Tribolium castaneum: one gene and its partners. The protein of the gene in region 3 purifies or fractionates together with the protein of the main gene of each other region. This does not show direct contact. Links are inferred from orthologs where the notes say so. Each region holds a gene or a part of one and is shown on either strand. Other genes may lie near its edges.

Evidence for each region.
Region 1: the proteins of protein AAR2 homolog (region 3) and ecd purify together in Homo sapiens (affinity purification with mass spectrometry; 3 studies listed by BioGRID and IntAct, counting the BioPlex papers as one, with this or other methods). This does not show direct contact. The link is inferred for Tribolium castaneum from reciprocal best matches to the Homo sapiens genes AAR2 and ECD.
Region 2: the proteins of protein AAR2 homolog (region 3) and tetratricopeptide repeat protein 27 purify together in Homo sapiens (affinity purification with mass spectrometry; 3 studies listed by BioGRID and IntAct, with this or other methods). This does not show direct contact. The link is inferred for Tribolium castaneum from reciprocal best matches to the Homo sapiens genes AAR2 and TTC27.
Region 4: the proteins of protein AAR2 homolog (region 3) and splicing factor C9orf78 purify together in Homo sapiens (affinity purification with mass spectrometry; 3 studies listed by BioGRID and IntAct, with this or other methods). This does not show direct contact. The link is inferred for Tribolium castaneum from reciprocal best matches to the Homo sapiens genes AAR2 and C9orf78.
Region 5: the proteins of protein AAR2 homolog (region 3) and p23 purify together in Homo sapiens (affinity purification with mass spectrometry; 3 studies listed by BioGRID and IntAct, with this or other methods). This does not show direct contact. The link is inferred for Tribolium castaneum from reciprocal best matches to the Homo sapiens genes AAR2 and PTGES3.

Annotation. Positions count from the first base shown.
Region 1 is NC_087394.1:35,465,450-35,469,397, reverse strand, and holds the start of ecd (protein ecdysoneless), read left to right. Parts: upstream 1-1,135; 5' UTR 1,136-1,177; coding exon 1,178-1,421; intron 1,422-1,573; coding exon 1,574-1,779; intron 1,780-2,164; coding exon 2,165-3,625; 3' UTR 3,626-3,948. Other genes in the region: tether containing UBX domain for GLUT4, read left to right, coding at 1-148, 199-556, 639-991. UniProt on the Homo sapiens protein: Regulator of p53/TP53 stability and function. Inhibits MDM2-mediated degradation of p53/TP53 possibly by cooperating in part with TXNIP. May be involved transcriptional regulation. In vitro has intrinsic transactivation activity enhanced by EP300.
Region 2 is NC_087394.1:32,815,669-32,819,718, reverse strand, and holds the start of tetratricopeptide repeat protein 27, read left to right. Parts: upstream 1-1,235; 5' UTR 1,236-1,550; coding exon 1,551-2,097; intron 2,098-2,141; coding exon 2,142-2,960; intron 2,961-3,294; coding exon 3,295-4,050. Other genes in the region: uncharacterized protein LOC135265904, read right to left, coding at 1-59, 113-304, 366-498, 551-890.
Region 3 is NC_087397.1:5,819,685-5,822,943, forward strand, and holds protein AAR2 homolog, read left to right. Parts: upstream 1-1,414; 5' UTR 1,415-1,486; coding exon 1,487-1,892; intron 1,893-1,939; coding exon 1,940-2,264; intron 2,265-2,318; coding exon 2,319-2,721; 3' UTR 2,722-2,756; downstream 2,757-3,259. Other genes in the region: sbm (b(0,+)-type amino acid transporter 1), read left to right, coding at 1-118, 171-339, 390-454. UniProt on the Homo sapiens protein: Component of the U5 snRNP complex that is required for spliceosome assembly and for pre-mRNA splicing.
Region 4 is NC_087394.1:36,668,395-36,671,229, reverse strand, and holds splicing factor C9orf78, read right to left. Parts: upstream 1,542-2,835; coding exon 1,402-1,541; intron 1,354-1,401; coding exon 740-1,353; intron 691-739; coding exon 545-690; 3' UTR 501-544; downstream 1-500. Other genes in the region: casein kinase II subunit alpha, read left to right, coding at 1,752-1,807, 1,851-2,835. UniProt on the Homo sapiens protein: Plays a role in pre-mRNA splicing by promoting usage of the upstream 3'-splice site at alternative NAGNAG splice sites; these are sites featuring alternative acceptor motifs separated by only a few nucleotides. May also modulate exon inclusion events.
Region 5 is NC_087398.1:11,209,298-11,213,295, reverse strand, and holds the start of p23 (prostaglandin E synthase 3), read left to right. Parts: upstream 1-1,184; coding exon 1,185-1,429; intron 1,430-3,998. Other genes in the region: Nost (nostrin), read right to left, coding at 849-1,078. UniProt on the Homo sapiens protein: Cytosolic prostaglandin synthase that catalyzes the oxidoreduction of prostaglandin endoperoxide H2 (PGH2) to prostaglandin E2 (PGE2).

The DNA of each region.
Region 1 (3,948 bases), on a different chromosome or scaffold from region 3:
AACGGAAACGCATTCGCCTAAAACTAAACCCAAAGTTGAGTCTGACGACGAAAAAATGGATGTTGATTTGCCAGAAAACATCGCAAATTACCCAAAAGAGCCAGTTACCAACCCATCATCTAGTCAGCTTGAGGACGATTTTGTTTTTGTATGTAGCATTTTATTTTTATTATTTTATTTTGTATTTGAAATTTTCAGTTGGGCGAGCGCAAGGCAATGTTATTTTCTCTCGAATCGGCGCGTTCTTTACCAGCTGAAGACCTACCAGACGATTTTTTTGAGCTCACAATTGATGATGCTAAGAAAATTCTGGGCGATATTAGAAGAAAGCGAAACGAAATGGACAACGCTAATCTCATGACCTCTGCAATGCGCAATTTAGAAGAATCAAAGAAGCAATTACGCCAACTGCGTAAATATAAACAGTCAGTAATACGCGTCCAGTTCCCAGACAGGTCCATCCTTCAAGGGAGCTTCAAGCCCAGCGAAACTGTTAAAGATATTAAAGATTTCGTCACTTCTTTCCTAGAAGATCCAAACAGTGATTTTCATCTTTGTAAGTATTGTTCTACTTCAGTCAAGTGACCTTTGACTCTAGTCAGAAACTACTTTGATCACATGTTTAAATATTGTTACAGATACAACGCCGCCTAAAAATGTTCTCTCGGACGAATCAAAACTAGTGGAAATTGGTTGCGTGCCGGGGGCTTTGTTGCATTTAGGAGCAAATGGTGATGGGAGTTCTGTGTGCTTGAAGGCGGAATTGAGGGATAAATTTACAACAAACTCAAAAGCAAGTTTAGCGGCGTCACAGTTGCGGCAAAAGGGAACAAGACCCGAATCTCCGAGTGAAGAAATGGGCCAGGATGAGTCTATGGATACACTGACTGAAGCAAATGCTGCTGGGCCAAGTACACAACCAACCAGTTACGAGAGGAAAGTAATAAAATCAACGGAAAAAGTCCCTAAGTGGTTTAGACCATCAAAGTGATTTATTAGTGTTAAGTTTATATGAGTTGGTACTTATATTAAATAAAAGCACTTCAGCATCTAATTTTGTTTTATTTTGGTGAGAGGAGCGGGTGTTTTTGAATAGTTTGGGGAGTTTTGTTTTATTGGCACCAATGGTGTGTCAAATGTCATTCAAATTTTTTAATTGATTACTTTTAAAACAACAATGGCAAGTAAAGTTAACGTTCTTGAGTCCGTTCGTGAAGATGATTTTGTTGAATATCATCTTTTTCCACCTATTGATTCCCAGGACGACAAAGAACAAGAACTTGCGTTAACCAGAGTTTTAAATCAGTGTGAAAAAATCGTAAAAAGGTACACCGATGAGTATTTATGGCATAAAGACGAATTTAAATTAACTGTGAGAACGTGGATTAGTAATTCACTGATTCATGATAGTGAAAAAACAGGTAATGGTCGTATTTTATGACTTCACATTAAAAAAGTGCTTTTACATTTTTTGAGGTTATAAACCAGCAAATGCTTTGTTTAAAGTAAATCTGTATAAATCACAATGTAACAATTTTTTGAATCACCTAATTCGAGATCAATTGTTTTGCAGAGTATTTACCACCACATTTATATGGCGTAACTCATTTTGGAGACAATATAGAGGACGAGTGGTTTATTGTGTTCCTTTTACGTCTCCTAACTAAGGAAATTGATGGTTTAATAGCTCGTGTGCACGACGCTGATGGCGAATTTATTTTAATTGAAGCAGCTGATTACTTACCTTTATGGGCAGACCCTAACAACTGCGAAAATAGGGTAAGGTTTCTCATTATCTGTGCTTGTCTTTTTTCTAATTCAAATTAGAATAAAGTGATAATTGATTTTTTTGTTGGAAATTTTAATTAAAAAACGTTGCTATGGTAAGAGTGTTTTAAAATAGTGTTTATAATCTAGCATTCAGATGTGAAAAAGAAGGCTTAAAATGTTACCATCAAAAAAATAATTTAACGAATGCAACACAAGTCAATGAACGAAGCTGTACCAACATGTGAAAAAATTGCAACAAAATTGCAGCTCTATAAGATAGTACTTCTACATTAAAATTCACTTAAGTAATAATTTATTAGTTAAGCATTTATAATTATTTATACATTTCTGTAATAACTGAAGCAAAACTGACTTGGATCTGGTTTTTCTCCAGGTATACATTTACCAAGGCAACATTCATATCATCCCTCTAGACACCTCGGATCACCTCCCAGAAATGGCCCAAATGGCGGTCAATGAGGCCGTCTCAACAATCCAAAACAATCCGATCGACACTTTAGCCTCATCAGACATCCAAAACTGTATAATCAACAAATTAAAAGACTACCCTGACAAAATCCAGTCCAGTCTTCACCATGCCACTGCCTACCTACCAGTAGGTGTCGCTGCAATTTTGCGCCACAAACCCGGGCTTATAGCCCCCGCCGTCCAAGTCTTTTGTAATCGAGACCCAGTTGACGCCAAAACCTGCAAAGCCATGAAATATTTTCCGCCCGAAAACCGCGTAAATGCCAGAGTGACATTTACTAAATGTTTATACGCAATGCTAACTCACAGTAAATACGTTCCGGATCGCAGAACCGGCTGGAACTTGCCTAAAAGCGACAGCCCACAGTTTAAAGCGCAGAATTTAGGCGTTAAAATCGCCTGTGGGTTTGAGATTTTAGCCGCGCAAGCCAAACCAAGCCAGGACATTGAACAGGATAAAGGGTGGGTTAATTATTTTGAGAAACTGAAAGAGAAAAATTATTTTCGGGGGTTGTTGGAGCATTCAAGAGAATACAACGATTTATTAAACAAAGCGAAAGAGTACTACATCAATCACCGAGACTCTATGCACTATTCTCCAGCCATTGGGCAAGAAATTGTCCAGTTGATCAAAAATTTGGATTTTAAGATCGATGAATTGAAGGAGGAAAGTAATTTGCCTGACGATGACGATTCGTGGCTTAACGTCAGCCCGGAAGAGTTGGATAAAATGTTAGAAGAAAAATACGGGCAAAAGAAATTCGTTACAGTGAACAACAACTCAGACGCCGCCTCTTTCACTGAAAAAATCTCCTCGTTCTTAAACCACGTGTCAGATATTGACGGAGTTGAGCACCCAGACCTGGACAATTCCCCAACTCGGCCCCCTAGAGGCGTGAAAAAACGCACCAAAGTTTCGTTCGCAAGTGGCACAAAAACCGAGACAACAGCTAATAATAGAGTTAGTTTTGATCCGAATGCGTTTTCTTGCGCCGTTCAGAACATCCTGAATTTTGTCATTCCGGAAGATGACAGTTGGGATTTGGATTCTGGGTCTGATATGAGCGATTACGCCGACGATGTTGCCGGGAATGAGGAGATGTACGAAGGGGTTAAAAATAAAATGCAGGAGTATATGGAACAGATGGATAAGGAACTGGCGGCGACCACAATCGGGGAAAGTTTCGAGAAGAAGAACGGGGACGGGTTTGAGGATATTGAGAGTTTTAAACCTGTTGATATTGACGTGAATGCGTTGAAGAATATTCTGGAGAGTTATAAGTCGCAGTTGGGGGAGGCGGGACCGTCGAGTAATATGTTAGGGCCGATGGGGGTGCACTTGGATGTCAGTAATAACGATGATTGAGATGATTATTTAAGCGCGATTTATTGATTTACTGTTAATTTTTGTAGCGCGTGCCAATAAGGAGGTTTACTGCCATTGTCTTTTCACTATTGATGTATACAGTGTACGAGATTCACACGTTAAGCTGTACAGAACACGAACGATTTGATTACATGCTTAATATTACCTCAGAAATATGAAAAATATTTTGTGTTAACGTTACGTTGTTTTTGCAACTATGACACATTTCTTTTTTTCGTTCTGTACAGCCGCATATGTATTTTAGATTTAGCTGCTTGTTATGAAAATTAAAAGAATATATTTAATACTTTAGGATATTATGC
Region 2 (4,050 bases), on a different chromosome or scaffold from region 3:
TCGATGGCACTTCCTCTAAATTCATTGTCGATGGTACTGTTTCTTCCGGTATATCAACACTATTCAAATGATCAAATTGTAAATCAATTTAAAACTAGGATTCACTTTTTACCTTAATGATTCAGCGGAACTAGAACAAGAAGGGAGTCCTTGTTTTTTCATCTTTTTTTTTTCTGGAGATTCCACTTGAAAATAGGCTCTTTTTGCGATATTGTGCAAAAATAATTCAGGACCATTTTCCTTTCTTCCATCCCGAAAATGGCAGCTGCAAACGTAGGCTCCTGGTCCGGGTTCTACATCTCTTCTACATTTAACAATGAAACAAGCAATTAAAAATTAATATCAAAACATCTATTAAAAATTACCTCAACAATTTTTTCCATAGTGCTCGTTCTTTTCCCGACTTAGGAAAACTAAAAAAATGGCATTTATCGCGAGTACTATAGTGTTTGCAATCTGGAGCCCAACACATTCCCATAGTTGTGATGTAAAAACCTACTACACATGAACTATCAAAGTATCGCAACAAAATATTATTCACAAATCATACCTAATGATGTACCACAAAAATGAGATAATGTCTTGGAAAAACAGAATTTTAAAAATTCAAGAACACGAAGATATGGAGAACGATCGGAAAAAACACGATAACAAAAGACACTCACGAAAGAAGCACAGAACTCACAACCCGTACTACTTTCAACCATGTATGTGCCTGAACCCTCTACCCTCGTATACCTGCTATTCATCCCTCGTGATGGGGGAGGGGGACAGAAAACAACCCGTTTATTGGGGTTGCGCCGGTTGCACCCCATGAATTCGTCATTCAGAAGAAATCCAATGTCATTAGTGTGGCAAACCATTTTTCCCTCAGTTTTAAAAGGCCACATAATAATTTACATCAATATGATGTCCAAATTAAGAAAAACTGAATTTTGAAGTTTGAAAAAAGTTAGGTTAGAAAAGGATTTATGTGTTCAACTTACAGAAATATTAGCTCAGTTGCTAAAATCTTTAAGAAACGACATTGCATTTTTCATAGCTATCATTTCTCTGTAAAAGTAATGTTCCTACACTTCTAGCATTAAAGAAATACGAAAAACTTTTAAATGCCCATAAGAAAAGCATTGAAAATGGCGATTGTTTAGCTTTAAGGTGCTGACCTACCTCAAATGTCTACGTCACACTGATAGCGCGTATAGTGTTTTTTTATGGAGCTAGGGTGGCGTACAGTTCATAAACATAAACACTATTCCACGTTTCGAGTTCCACGTTTTCGAGTTTAATTGGTCGTGGGGTTTGTTTCCTTTTAGTTAACTGGGGCGAAGCCCCAGCCACGCGCAACATATTTCCATAAAAACCACTATTCCAATATGCCCAGCTGAAATGAGAAGTCCGTTATGGTCTCCGTTCGTACTGTTCCGACCTCGCTCGCAACATTTCGACTGAGCGAACATTTGTAGACCGGCAGGGGCTAGCCGCTAGTGGTGCAACTGCCCACTTTTCGAGGTTAATTTAACCTGTGAACATGTGAACAAGAATTGTTAACAATGGGGGAGGTTTACGATTTGATTAAGAAGTTTCATCTTCATTCGAAGACCCACAAAGTCCAGGACGGTGGCACAGAAGAGTGGGTTAGTTTGGTTTTGCGCGAAAAATACTGGGATGACATTCTCGTGTTGTATGCGAACAATGCGCTGATTAAGGACTTTTTCAACTCGAAAAGTGACCAAGAGCGGGAGGAGTACCTCATTTTTGGGATTGCGTGCTTCACTTACTTCGTCCAATGCAACTTTACCGGGCCCCCCATCCCCAAAGTGATTGACGAATTCCTGGCCAAAGACAAGTTCAAGTCGTTTGATTTCGCCAGTCGGTTGGCCATGAACGGCGAAGACATCAACGTTAATACGAAAAATCCGGCCCTTTTGGCCGTTTCTGAGTTCATATTTGATTGTTGTGTCGTCAACACTTTGGTCAACTTGTGGTGGTGTTGCCGGGCTTTGATGATACACCAGGACGTTCTAGACGACTTGAGCCCCTCTTTGTTATCAAACGCCGACCGTCTCCACAAACTGCTCCAAGAACAACCGCTAAAAGGTGCGTTTTCTTGCACCAGTTCTTTGTAATTGACTGAATTTTAGGTGTTTTGAAAGCTGAGCTTAATACAGAACTGGCCCAAATGTACCTCAAATTCCGCCACATCACCAAAGCTCAAGACCACATCACGTCGGCGTGTGATGTGTTAGGACTGGCGTACGATTTTGTCGGTAAATTAGGCAAAAGAACGAAATTTCAAACCGATGAATTGGCACAACTTACTGTAAAAGTCACACTAGCCGATCAAGACGAAATAAAACGGCCTGAAATTGACGATATTGTTGTGCCGCAAAATTTCAGTCTCAATGACGACGTTAGATTGGACCAAGTCACATTTTCGGAAGAGTCCGATTCGGCAAAATTGCCCAATGCTGAGCAAAAACTGATTCTAACAATCATACGCAAGAAAATGATTTCTAGTCCCTCTGATGAGCTGCAAAGTGAGGAGATTCTACCCTTCATTGAGATGATTCTGAGCCAGAAGAACACGTACACAGTGCGTGTGATGGCATTGTTGTTGCGCTGTCAGTTAGAGTCCAATAATAAGAGGACTATTGAAAGGTGTTTGAAGCAGTGTGAGGACATTATCAGTAATTTCACAAAGGAGGAGCCGCCGGCAAGTAATAGAGTGGGTGATGTTTTCGGGACGGCAATGCTGCCCATTTGGAAAGTCCAAGCAGAGTATGCCGATATTTTGCTTAATTTTGGTTTGGTGAAAAACAGTTTGGATGTTTATTTGAGAATTCAGTTGTGGGAGGAAGTTATTATTTGTTACAATATTTTGAAAATGAGGGAAAAGGCGGCTGAAGTTATTAGGCAGCAGCTTGAGGTGAAGCCGACGGTGAAGTTAATGTGCCTTCTAGGTTTGTTTTTAATTTTTTTGTTAATATATTGCTCTATTTAAATGATTACGTCGTGATTTTTGTTTTTAATGTTCAATTTCATTATTTTTACCTTTTTCGAATGTATTTTTCTTGAGATTTTGTTTAATCGGACCTAAAAATGACATTGTTTTTGTCTTTCTCGAGCCATTTAGCACGTATTTAAACAAAAAAAAAACACATTTCGTAAAACTAACGCCAAATGTCATCAGTTCAAAAGTTCCTGATGCTTCTTGCGATTTTAAATTAGATTCCAAAAATGAATTAAAATCTGATTTACTCAATTGCTTTCATTTAATTTTTGTATTTCTTTAAGGTGACGCGACTGACGATGTAACATGTTACGAAACAGCCTGGGAGATGTCCAAGAAGCGCAGCCACCGGGCGCAAAGACACTGGGGGCGCTTTTTATTCGCACGCAGAAAATACGAAGAATGCATTCCACATTTTGAGAAATCTCTCAGCATAAACCCTCTCCAAGCCAACATTTGGCTAGGTTTAGGTTTCGCAGCCTTGCAAATAGAAAACTGGCAAACGGCAGCAACAGCCTACCGCCGCTACACCACCCTAGAACCTGACGGTTTTGAGGCTTGGAACAACCTAGCCCAAGCCTACATCAAACTGGGAAACAACCGCAGCGCACACCAAGCCATCCTGGAAGCCTTGAAGTGCAACTTCGACAATTGGAAAGTCTGGGAAAATTTGCTTCTAATCAGCTGTGATATCTCGAATTATTCGGATGTAATCCGCGCCTACCATCGCATAATCGATTTGAAAGAAAAGTATTTAAATGTGGAAGCTTTGAATATTCTTGTGTATAGTGTTTGTAACGACGCCACTGATTCTGAAGGGAATTCCGCGAGGAAGTTTTTGCAAAAAATCCGGGAGTTGTTGGGGAGAGTTGCAGGGTTGTATCCCAGCAATGGGCCAGTCTGGGAGTTGTATGCCAGTTTAGCGCCGGTTTTGTTACTTAGGGCCCAGCGACTGCAAAGGGCCTACAGGGGATACACCCAAGGGTCGTGGGACAAAGACCCGAAAACTTGTTTGTATGTTTTAAATGTGTGCAGAAAAT
Region 3 (3,259 bases):
CACCATCGACTCGCTGATTGACTTCTTCAGCTTCACTGCGTGGATTTTCTACGGGGGCGCGATGTTGGCTCTGATTGTGATGCGATACACTAAGCCCAACTATCCTAGGCCCTACAAGGTACTTTTTATACCCAAGATTTAGTTTTTTGTGATTTTGCAATTTGTTCCAGGTGCCAATTATCATTCCGTATGTGGTATTAGTGATCTCTTTCTACCTGATAGTAGCTCCTATAGTAGACAAGCCTACCATTGAGTACCTGTATGCAGCGCTGTTCATTTTCAGTGGGATGGTTTTTTACGTCCCCTTTGTGCATTACAAAATGCGGATCCCATTCATGGGTGCGTCCACTCCACACTGTTAGTTTTTTTTTTTTAATATTTATTTTCAGACGGCGTGACTGTTTTCCTGCAGATGATATTTGAAGTAGCACCAACATCGACAATGTTGGAGTAGAACGGCAGAAAGCTCAAATTTATATATTTGTAGCTGGTAGAGGGTCATGGTTACAGGTAAAACTCTTGGTTTCATCTATACAACGTTATTTTTGTGCTTACTGTGACTTGAAAATGTGTAGATGGAACTAGATGAAAATTATTATAAATGTAAAATGTAGGTAAATTGCACGGATCATTCCCAACCATCGGGGTATCTCATGGGGTGCAACGTGGATATCCATAACTGTTTCGTTCGTTCAAATAAAATTAGTGTCGAGCAATAAAACTTAGAGTGAACGTATTATACAGTAGATAAATGTGAAATTTAATTACTCGGTGTAATATCGTCGATGTTTTCGCTAATTTTATTTGAATTTGATAGTTGTGCATTTTATATTAACTATACATTTACTGCAAAAAGTCTGACTTTTTTATGAACTTATTTTTATATTAGTAAAGTTCCTGTAACCATGATAAAATTTCAAAACACAATAGATTGACATGTTTCAGGTAAAATATGAATCTGTTATTCCTTACCTAAACAATGTTAATTGCGACTTTGGGTTTTCTACAGTTTTTTATTTCATTTCTTAAAAGCAGTACTAAAAGATTCGAATCTCGAAGAGAGTATTACCACAGTTAGCGACAGGGATATTAATTCAAACATTTCTATTCCCCTCAAAGTACCTGCTGAATAGGGTGGCGAAAAAGAAAATATTTTCTTCAAATAGTCATTAACATATCTACAATACTCTCGAACGAATCTTGGAAACATCGATTTATTAAGCAAAAATTGTTATTTTTATCATTTGATAATAGCTTTTGTATAAAATTTAGAAAAGTAAAATTGTTGCCAAATGTAAAGCGTATATTGTTGTGCAATATAAAGAAATATATTGTAATACAGAAGAAGTTTTATTTATTTTTGCCCAAAACCAAAATTCCCACTTTTTTGGACGGCATTACTGGTTGCATAACATGACAATTGTGTCAATACTTGACACAATCCTAACCTCACAATTGACAATTTGCCAAAAACGTAAACAAACACATGGACCAAGCCACAGCTCGACGCCTGCTCTCCGAGGGCGCCTTCTTCATCCTCCTGGGGGTCCCCGAGGGCACCGAGTTCGGCATCGACCTCAAATCCTGGAACACGGGGGAGAAGTTCCGCGGGGTTAAAATGATCCCCCCAGGCGTGCACTTCATATTTTACAACTCTGTTAGTGCGACAACCGACGATGTGGCCCCCAGAGTTGGGTTTTTCCACAATTTTAAACCGGGCGAAGTCCTGGTGAAAAAATGGTCAAAGGTAAATGAGCAAATCAGTGACGAGCAAGTCAATGAGTCGGAAATCGTGAGTTTGAAGGAGAATTTGAGGGCTCTTGATGGGTTTCTGGGGCCTTATCCGTTCGATATTGCGGAGCGGTGGGCCAGCTTAGTGGGGAGCATCACCGGTAGACTGATTCAATTTTTTGGGGGGTTTTTAGACGTTTTTTTTTAGAAAATTTGTTGGGGAAATTGGTGCCGCAGTGTGGGCAAGTGAGGGCTGCTTTGGAGCTGCAGTCGTGCAGCGATGCCGAGCGGCCCAGGGGGGCTAAAAGAAAAAAGGGGGAGGCGAGTGAGCCGTCTTGTAGCGGGATAAAAAATTTGTCCGGTTGTGGAGAACTTGATTTGTTGCCTGCTTTAAAACCGATCGAAGGGACGGAGTTAAGGTTGACGAAATTCCCTGAAAAGAACTATCCTGAGGGAAGCTCGCCCTCTGAAATTACGCAGCATTCCCTTGATTTAACATTTGTTTTTGAAACACTTTTGTCACAGTATTCTGAGTATGTAATGTTAGATTAAACGTAACATTATGTTAATTTAAATTTTTATTGAAGGTCTACGGAAATCATCGGTGAGCTGGAATTCTGCTACATTTGTTTCCTTGTAGGCCACAGTTTGGAGGCATTTGACCAGTGGAAAAAACTAGTGACTTTGTTTTGTTCCTGTGATGCCGCTATTACAAAATATAGAAAATTATTCGATTTATTTATAACAGTTTTAGAAGTACATATAAAGGAAATACCGGAAGAATTCTTAGCAGATATTGTTTCAAACGATAATTTTGTTTATGTTAATTTGAAAAAATTATTTAGGTCGATTCATGAATCAAACGTTGACGGACAATTTAAAAGTAAAGTCGTTCGATTTAAAAATTCTTTAACTACGACGTTTTTGTGGGATTTTGAACATCTGGATTCCGATGAAGACGACGAAGCCCCAGTTATTGTAGAAACTTAATTTTGTTGTGTTGAAAATAAAACTATTTTACTTCATGTTGAATTTTATTAACAAGAATTCCCAGAATTATGAAACAAAGAATAGTGGAAAAGTTGTATAGTACATACATCATAGTTCAAAAAAAATATATACAAGGTGAAACAAAGTAGAACAAGTTAACTAAATAAAAAATGAAGAAATATTGAAAACAAAAAAACCTATTAAACGAAGTTTTTTTAAAGTCACATCCAAAAGTTGTGACAAGTTCACATTACCCATCGATATAAAAACTCACGAATTAAAGACGTCTTAATAAAACAGAAAACTGACAAGACAGTAAAACCTCTCACCAAGGGACATCGATGAGGAATTTTTAATTGTCCGTTGTGGAGAGGTGTCCGTTATTCAGAGGTGGACATTAAAGGAAGTTTAATAGTATTTGAAATAAATCGTTTTTGACCATTTAGCGAAAAAATCAAATACGAGCACCTACCTACCTAATAAATATTTATAATATTATCAACTTTGCTAAAACAAATCAACACGAATAAAAAAAAGT
Region 4 (2,835 bases), on a different chromosome or scaffold from region 3:
TGCTCGAAAACTATTAGTCGGAGAACAATAATCTTTTTTGAAAAAAATAGATAATTTAAAGAGCTTTCCAACGATAATACACTTCATGGGGTTATCTCTAATAGTTCCGGAGCTATTGCTCGACAAATGTTCCGGGTACCCAAAATCGACAAAAACTGCGACGAAAATTGAAAAAATCAAACATCAAAAAATCGAACATTTGGACTTTTTGTGGACTTTTAACAACTTTTGTGGGTTGTTAAGACATGTAGGAGTCCATAAAAAGTTCCTAGAGTTAGTTAAAAAAAAATTTTTGTTTCACCTCTTGAAGGTACTCAGGAAATTTGAGCAAAAAAAATTGAAAATTTTAAATTGCGTGAAAAATTAGTATAATAGAGAAAAAAAGCCGCTGAATCCAATGGAACAAACCGCATTGCTCTACGACTTTTAGTTTTTGAGTTATGAATTTCAAAACAACACAGTGATTATTTGCTCGGATTTTTAAAAGAAATAAAAACAAATCAAAATAAATAATTTATTCAAAAATAAAAAACACTACAAAAGGCTAATATCTCCTAAATTGTTTTTTGAACTTTTCGTAGTGATAATCATCGGTGGCCCTCTCATCCTTTTTCTTCGGCTTTTCCGTAGCCTCCTCCACTTTATCATCCAACTTGGCCTTCTTTTTAGCAACCTCTGCGTCTATATTAACTGTAAAAAAAGTAAAAAACTCCAAATATGAGCAGTTCTGCCAACTCACATCGATTGTGCTGCACAAAATTCACCGCCATATTCGTCGGCACAAAAGGCGAAGGCCCGTCCTTCTTATTCTGCTTCTCCCACAGCAGCCTCAACTTCGCCTCTTCCGTAGCTTCAATATTCTTAATCTTGGCCTCAATCCCCAGGTCCACTTCCGGAATCCCATTCAACATCTGATTGGACAACATCTCCTCCGACCTCTTCGTCGACGACTCCCTCAAATGGTCCGGGACTGCCCTCAAAGCCGCCTCCTCGGGGCTGGTGTACGCCGACTTGTTCTCAGCCTCGGCCTGCTCCTGGGGCTCGACCTTGCGCTTCTTCTTCGACAACTCTTCTTCAATAAACTTCATCATTTCCTCGTCTTCGTCACGTTTATTCGTCTCGACCGAAAACTGGGTCCCTATGCCAGTGTCGTACGCATCATCGACTTGCTTGACTTTGCCGCTTTTAAGGGCTTGCATGTTGACCATGCCGCCGGACTTCACCTTGAAAGGGTCCTTTGAAATGCACTCGTCCTCGATGGTGATTTTGGTACCTAGGGCTAGCCCCAAGGCGTTGACTCCATGGGGGCGCTTACGCAAGTTTTGTAACTCCTTCATTTCTTCTAGTTTGGTGCTAAAAGCAACGTTAGGGGAGGCACCACAGTGAAGGGGGTCTTGTTACCTGACCTCCTCCAGGTCCTCCTCTCGGTCACTACCATCCGAGGGGCGCCTTTGGCGCAGCTGTTTACGGTTTTTACGTTTAAAAACGGGTTTCGAGTCATTTGAATCGTTAGATTCGGTTTTAATCCCACTTGTTGACATGACGAATTTGAGGTTATGACGCCCCAATAACTACACCAAAAACGACCAAAACCACCACAAGACACTCGAGACTGGCTCACAAAACACAAAATAATTCATAATTCGTGTGGCACCATTAAATTAAAGCCACAATTGTGTTTTTCGCTTAATCGGGTTAGGGATTTTCGTTTTGTCGTTTAGTGACAAGTAAGCACCCCGTTTAAATTTCAAATGTCAAAAAAAGATTTCAAAAAATTTGTGCCAAAAATGGATTTGGACGACACACCGTAAGTGTTTTAGGCCTAAAATTACCAAAATAACACAAATTAGTCGTAGCGTTGTTGTTACAACATCACGGGTATACTCGGACGTGTTCTCAAACAAGCCCTCTTCCTACTTTGAGTACGACAACTACAACCCCCCGACTGACGATATCAACAATTACAGTTTGATTCGGAAAATCGGTCAAGGGAAGTACAGTCTAGTGTTCGAGGGGGTGCACGATGGTACTAACGATTCGGTCGTGGTCAAGTTGCTAAAACCGATCAAAAAACCGAAAATCAAACGTGAAATTAAAATTTTGGAGCACTTGAGGAACGGCCCCAACATTGTGAGTTTATATGCCGTGGTGTCGGTGCCTTCCACAGCTTTGCACGCCCTGATTTTCGAATCCCCGTCAAATAATGAGGACTTTAAGGAGGTTTATTTGAAATTGAGTGATTCCGATATCCGGTTTTACATTTACGAAATTTTGAAAGCCCTTGATTTCTGTCACAGCAAGGGCATAATGCATCGTGACGTCAAGCCGCACAATATCATAATTGACCGGAAAAATCGCAAAATCCGGTTGATTGATTTCGGTTTGGCTGAGTTTTACCGTCCCGGAGAACGTTACAACGTCCGGGTGGCGTCTCGGCATTACAAAGGCCCGGAATTGTTGGTAGAGTACGGTTATTACGACTATTCCCTCGACTTGTGGTCGCTTGGGTGCGTTTTTGCCGCAATGATCTTCCGTAAAGAACCTTTCTTCCAAGGATTTGATAACCGCAACCAACTGTATTGCATTGTTAAAGTGTTGGGCACGAGCAAGTTTTACTCTTATTTGAATAAATACAACATTGTGCTGGAAGGTAGCATGCAGGAGATGTTGGGGATTCACTCGAAAAAACCCTGGCAGAGATTTGTCAATACGGAGAATGAGCATTTAGTGAATCAGAATGCCTTTGATTTTTTGGAATCGTTGCTTTGTTATGATCACATGGAAAGATGTACGGCTCAGGAGGCCTTGGGGCATAAGTATTTCGGGCCGGTGAGA
Region 5 (3,998 bases), on a different chromosome or scaffold from region 3:
AGGTATTCTGAATTTTCCTGTTGCAAATTTTCAGGAAAATATTCATAGGCGATTTTGAAGTGATTTTTCAAAAATTGGTCTCTCTTATAACGAAAAACTGAATCATTCCAAAAGAAAAAAGATAGACCCATAATAGTTTATATAAAGTTACATTATTTCTTTGCGTAGATTCCAATTATGCGAAAATATATAGGGTGTTCCATTTAAAAAAATATAACTTTGGTATACAACACCCTGTGTATAAAAAAAATATTTTTAGTTTGTGGATTTTAAGTCGATCTCTTGGATAAATAAAAACAGCATAGCAATAGTTCAATTCCCAAAAAAGTTAAAGACCGATTACACACCCCTGGGTCACCTACTGTATATTAAAAATAGAAGCGGTTCAAAAGTTGAGCCTTGTGGAACACCGGACGTAATATTACCTGCTTTTGATTGGGAGTTGCCTATAGTAGCAACTTGTTTTTTTATTTTGTCAAATAAGGAAGAAAAAATAATTTTTAAAGCCATAATAGTATATTATGATACAAGTTTTATAAGCCACATTTTGTCGCACGCACGAATTTAGAGCACGACGAGCGCAACGACAAAATGCCTTATAAACAAGATATCATACAGTATTTTTTCTACTTCGCACTTTTTGTACCAACAAAATTAATTTCAAAATTTAGGAAATTTTGGGGCTGTTGATAAATTGCCAGTTTATTACAATATTCAAAAATTTCGTTACACTCATTTGCGAATTTATTGGAGACTTAATAAATGGAAGATGGTAATTTTTGATGTCTGTCATTAGTTCTATTTGTAACGACAAATTCAGTGACTAGATGAAAATCATTAAAACACACCTTGTACCATTTTCCATTGCGTCTTGGAATTTTTCGTCGTCGGTGTCACTATCACTATCACTGTTTACAAAAACACTGTTTGGCACAGTTCTAGTGCGGTCGTATTCCTTTTGGGCCGCTTCCAAGTCGTAAGAGCCCGATTTTCGCTCGGTAGCGGCTTTTTTCGAGTTGATATTCGGAACGGTGATTCTCCACTGCTGTTTCGTTATTTTATTGCAGATTTTTTTCATTTTCGCTCGCGTCGCACTCAATTGCTGCTACTTACTGACACTCATTTGTGAAAAAAGCAGGATAAACGCTAATTAGGTTGTGTGTACGGTTAGATAAGGAAGGAAAATGTTGACGTCGATGAAACTGTTAAAGGTAAATTATTGGGAAGGTCGCATATTGTGCTTGCTATCATATGACGGTGACATAACACAACACTCGAAAGTTCACATTTTTCACTTTTCGCACTCGCGCTTCATTCAGAACTACCGCAGGGCCAACGCGGAGCAAGACCTCACTATATTAGTCTGTGGTGCTATAATTATCACATGTGTGTGTGGCTTAGACGGATGTATTGATGCCCATCAGACCACGTGAGAACCGCTCTTTTCGACGACATTAAACTGATTTGTTGACGCGAGTTAATTCGTTTCAAATGACTCGGAAACGTATGCAAAAATGAAAGTTTTCCACATTCTTTACACGACTTTGCCATCAGAAATGTTGGCAAATATTTTGATAACGCAAATATTGTAAAATGATTCAGTAAATCAGTTTGGTCGTAATGAGGTCGCTATTTTAATTAACTGAACTAATTGGGACAGATAACTAACGGGGTAATTCAATTAGCTAATTGAAATGTTTGCATTTTTGCGCCGTATCCAAGTTCAAATAGAATGAATTAAAGAAAGTGCAGAAATACAGAATAAAAGACGGAAAAAAATTAATCTTTTCGTTTTTCTCTGCTCTAGTACAGTCAGATCTGGTGATTTCGATGCTAATCTGGACAAAACGCTGGTTTTTTCAAACTGTAAAAGGTGGTCACAGATGGTGATTATTTGATCACTGATTATTTGACAATTTTGTTGCCAGAATAAAACTTTACGGTCATTGAAAAAATATTGTAAGTAATTAACTCATTTGTTAATTATCTTTCACAATACTTCAATCTATGTATTTTTTTTCAGAATGTTTCTACCCTTCCTTTAATTAAAATTGATTAATTAAGGATATTAATTAATCGGTAATTTATGATTTCTTGTGTTACCTTAAAACAATACGGTGGTTAAACGATGTTCTCGAAAAAAAGCAAAATTTCGTTTATTTGAATTTCTAATTTTTACTTACATTCGATTCACTTCAATAAAAACCATTGTGGTGCAAATAGCGTACTCTGGGCATTAACTTTCATATGGGTTGTCATGGTAACAGGTTAGTCATTTGCACCACAATGGTTTTTATGAAAGTAAACCGAAAGTAATTATTTTATTCTTCAACAGTGCCAAAATTTACAGTTTTTTTTCTGTGTAAGAAAGTTTTGACAACTGTTTGACATTTCTCACTACGAAACATGAGATTATTTTTAACAAATTTAAGCAATTTTAAGGATCGGTTTATAGAAACGTCATTAATTTAATTCGCAATTAATTGCGTGATTAACGGATCACGTGACCAAATTGAGCAAATCTGATTGGTCCATTTGCGTTGTTGACTTTTAACAGCGAATTAAATTTTAACGAAGCTTTCTATAAACCGGCCCTAAGCTTTGTTGAGTTTAATTCGAAGATTAAAATGTTGTATTCAACTCGTTTTCATGTAAATCGGTTCATTTAATTTACCTCGTGGATAATAAACCCCTCGTTGTCATTCGACGTTTAAAAATCCGATTTACACTCAAACTCGGTAAATAAATAACTATTTTGGGACTAGCAATACTTTTTTACAGATATTTATAACAATTTTTTGCAGCTATTTAAAAGTAATTAATTAATTTTATTTATTAGAAATTGTAGAAAAATTCTGGAAAAATTCACAGGCATAAAGAAAATGACAAAAAACTGAACAGCATTTAGAATTCTGGGCGATTTATTAGTTCTAGATAATAGTAATAAATATACTTTTAATAGACTCACACTGTATAAATATTAACAAACTAGATTATGCAATATTATAACTATGTACTACACAAATAGTAAATTAAGTTCAAATGACGTAAGAATTTTTTGCGTTTCTCAAAAACATAGTTAGATAAATTTAATTAGATAATAATTGATTAATTTATTAGACCACTCCGGAAAATCAATTAAACGCAATTATTCGCAAAATTTTATTAAAAACAAGTTGGAAATCCACCAAATTATACAAAAAAAAATTTGTTTTCTGTTGAAACCTGATAAAAAAACTAAAAAATATCAAGTTGAATTAAAACTAGAATATGCTACTCTCGATTTAGTCTATTTTTGAACCGAAAATCATATTTTGGAAGACCTTGTCTGAACATATAATATTTAGAAACAACGAAACAATGATGTTAACTAATTTATTGTCACGTTCTTCAACCAAAAACTCAATTATTTAGCAAAATTATTTTAAAAAATAGATAAAATTCGGCCAAAAATTGTATAAGTTTTGCATTTTTCAAGTATTTGAGCACTTTTTTTGAAATAAAAATTAAGTTTTTTTTCGAAATTAATCTAATAAAATACTAAATCGACTTGAAAAAGGTGTTATTTTACCCTTTTCAAACTTCAAGCAATTCAAAAAATGACTATGTTTTTTGTGAGACTGAAAAATCACATAACTAAGTAAAAAATTATAATAATTTTGTTCTTTCCAAGCATATACTTTACCACATTTTACAGCCTGATACGCAATTATTTTGCGAAATTTCATTAAAAACAAACTGAAAAATTTTATTATTTTCGAAAATTTTGCCTGAACTGGGTAAAAAATCGTAAACTTAGGTCGAAATTGAGGTTCTTTTAGCTTGTATCGCTGGACTTTAAAGCAAAGACTTAAGACTGGTTTATCGAAGTGTCATTAATTTAATTCGAAATTAAATATGTGATTAACGGATCACGTGACTAAATTGAACTAATTTGATTGGTCCATTCGTGCTGTTAACTTTTAACAACGAATTAAGTTTAAACAAAGCCGGCCCTT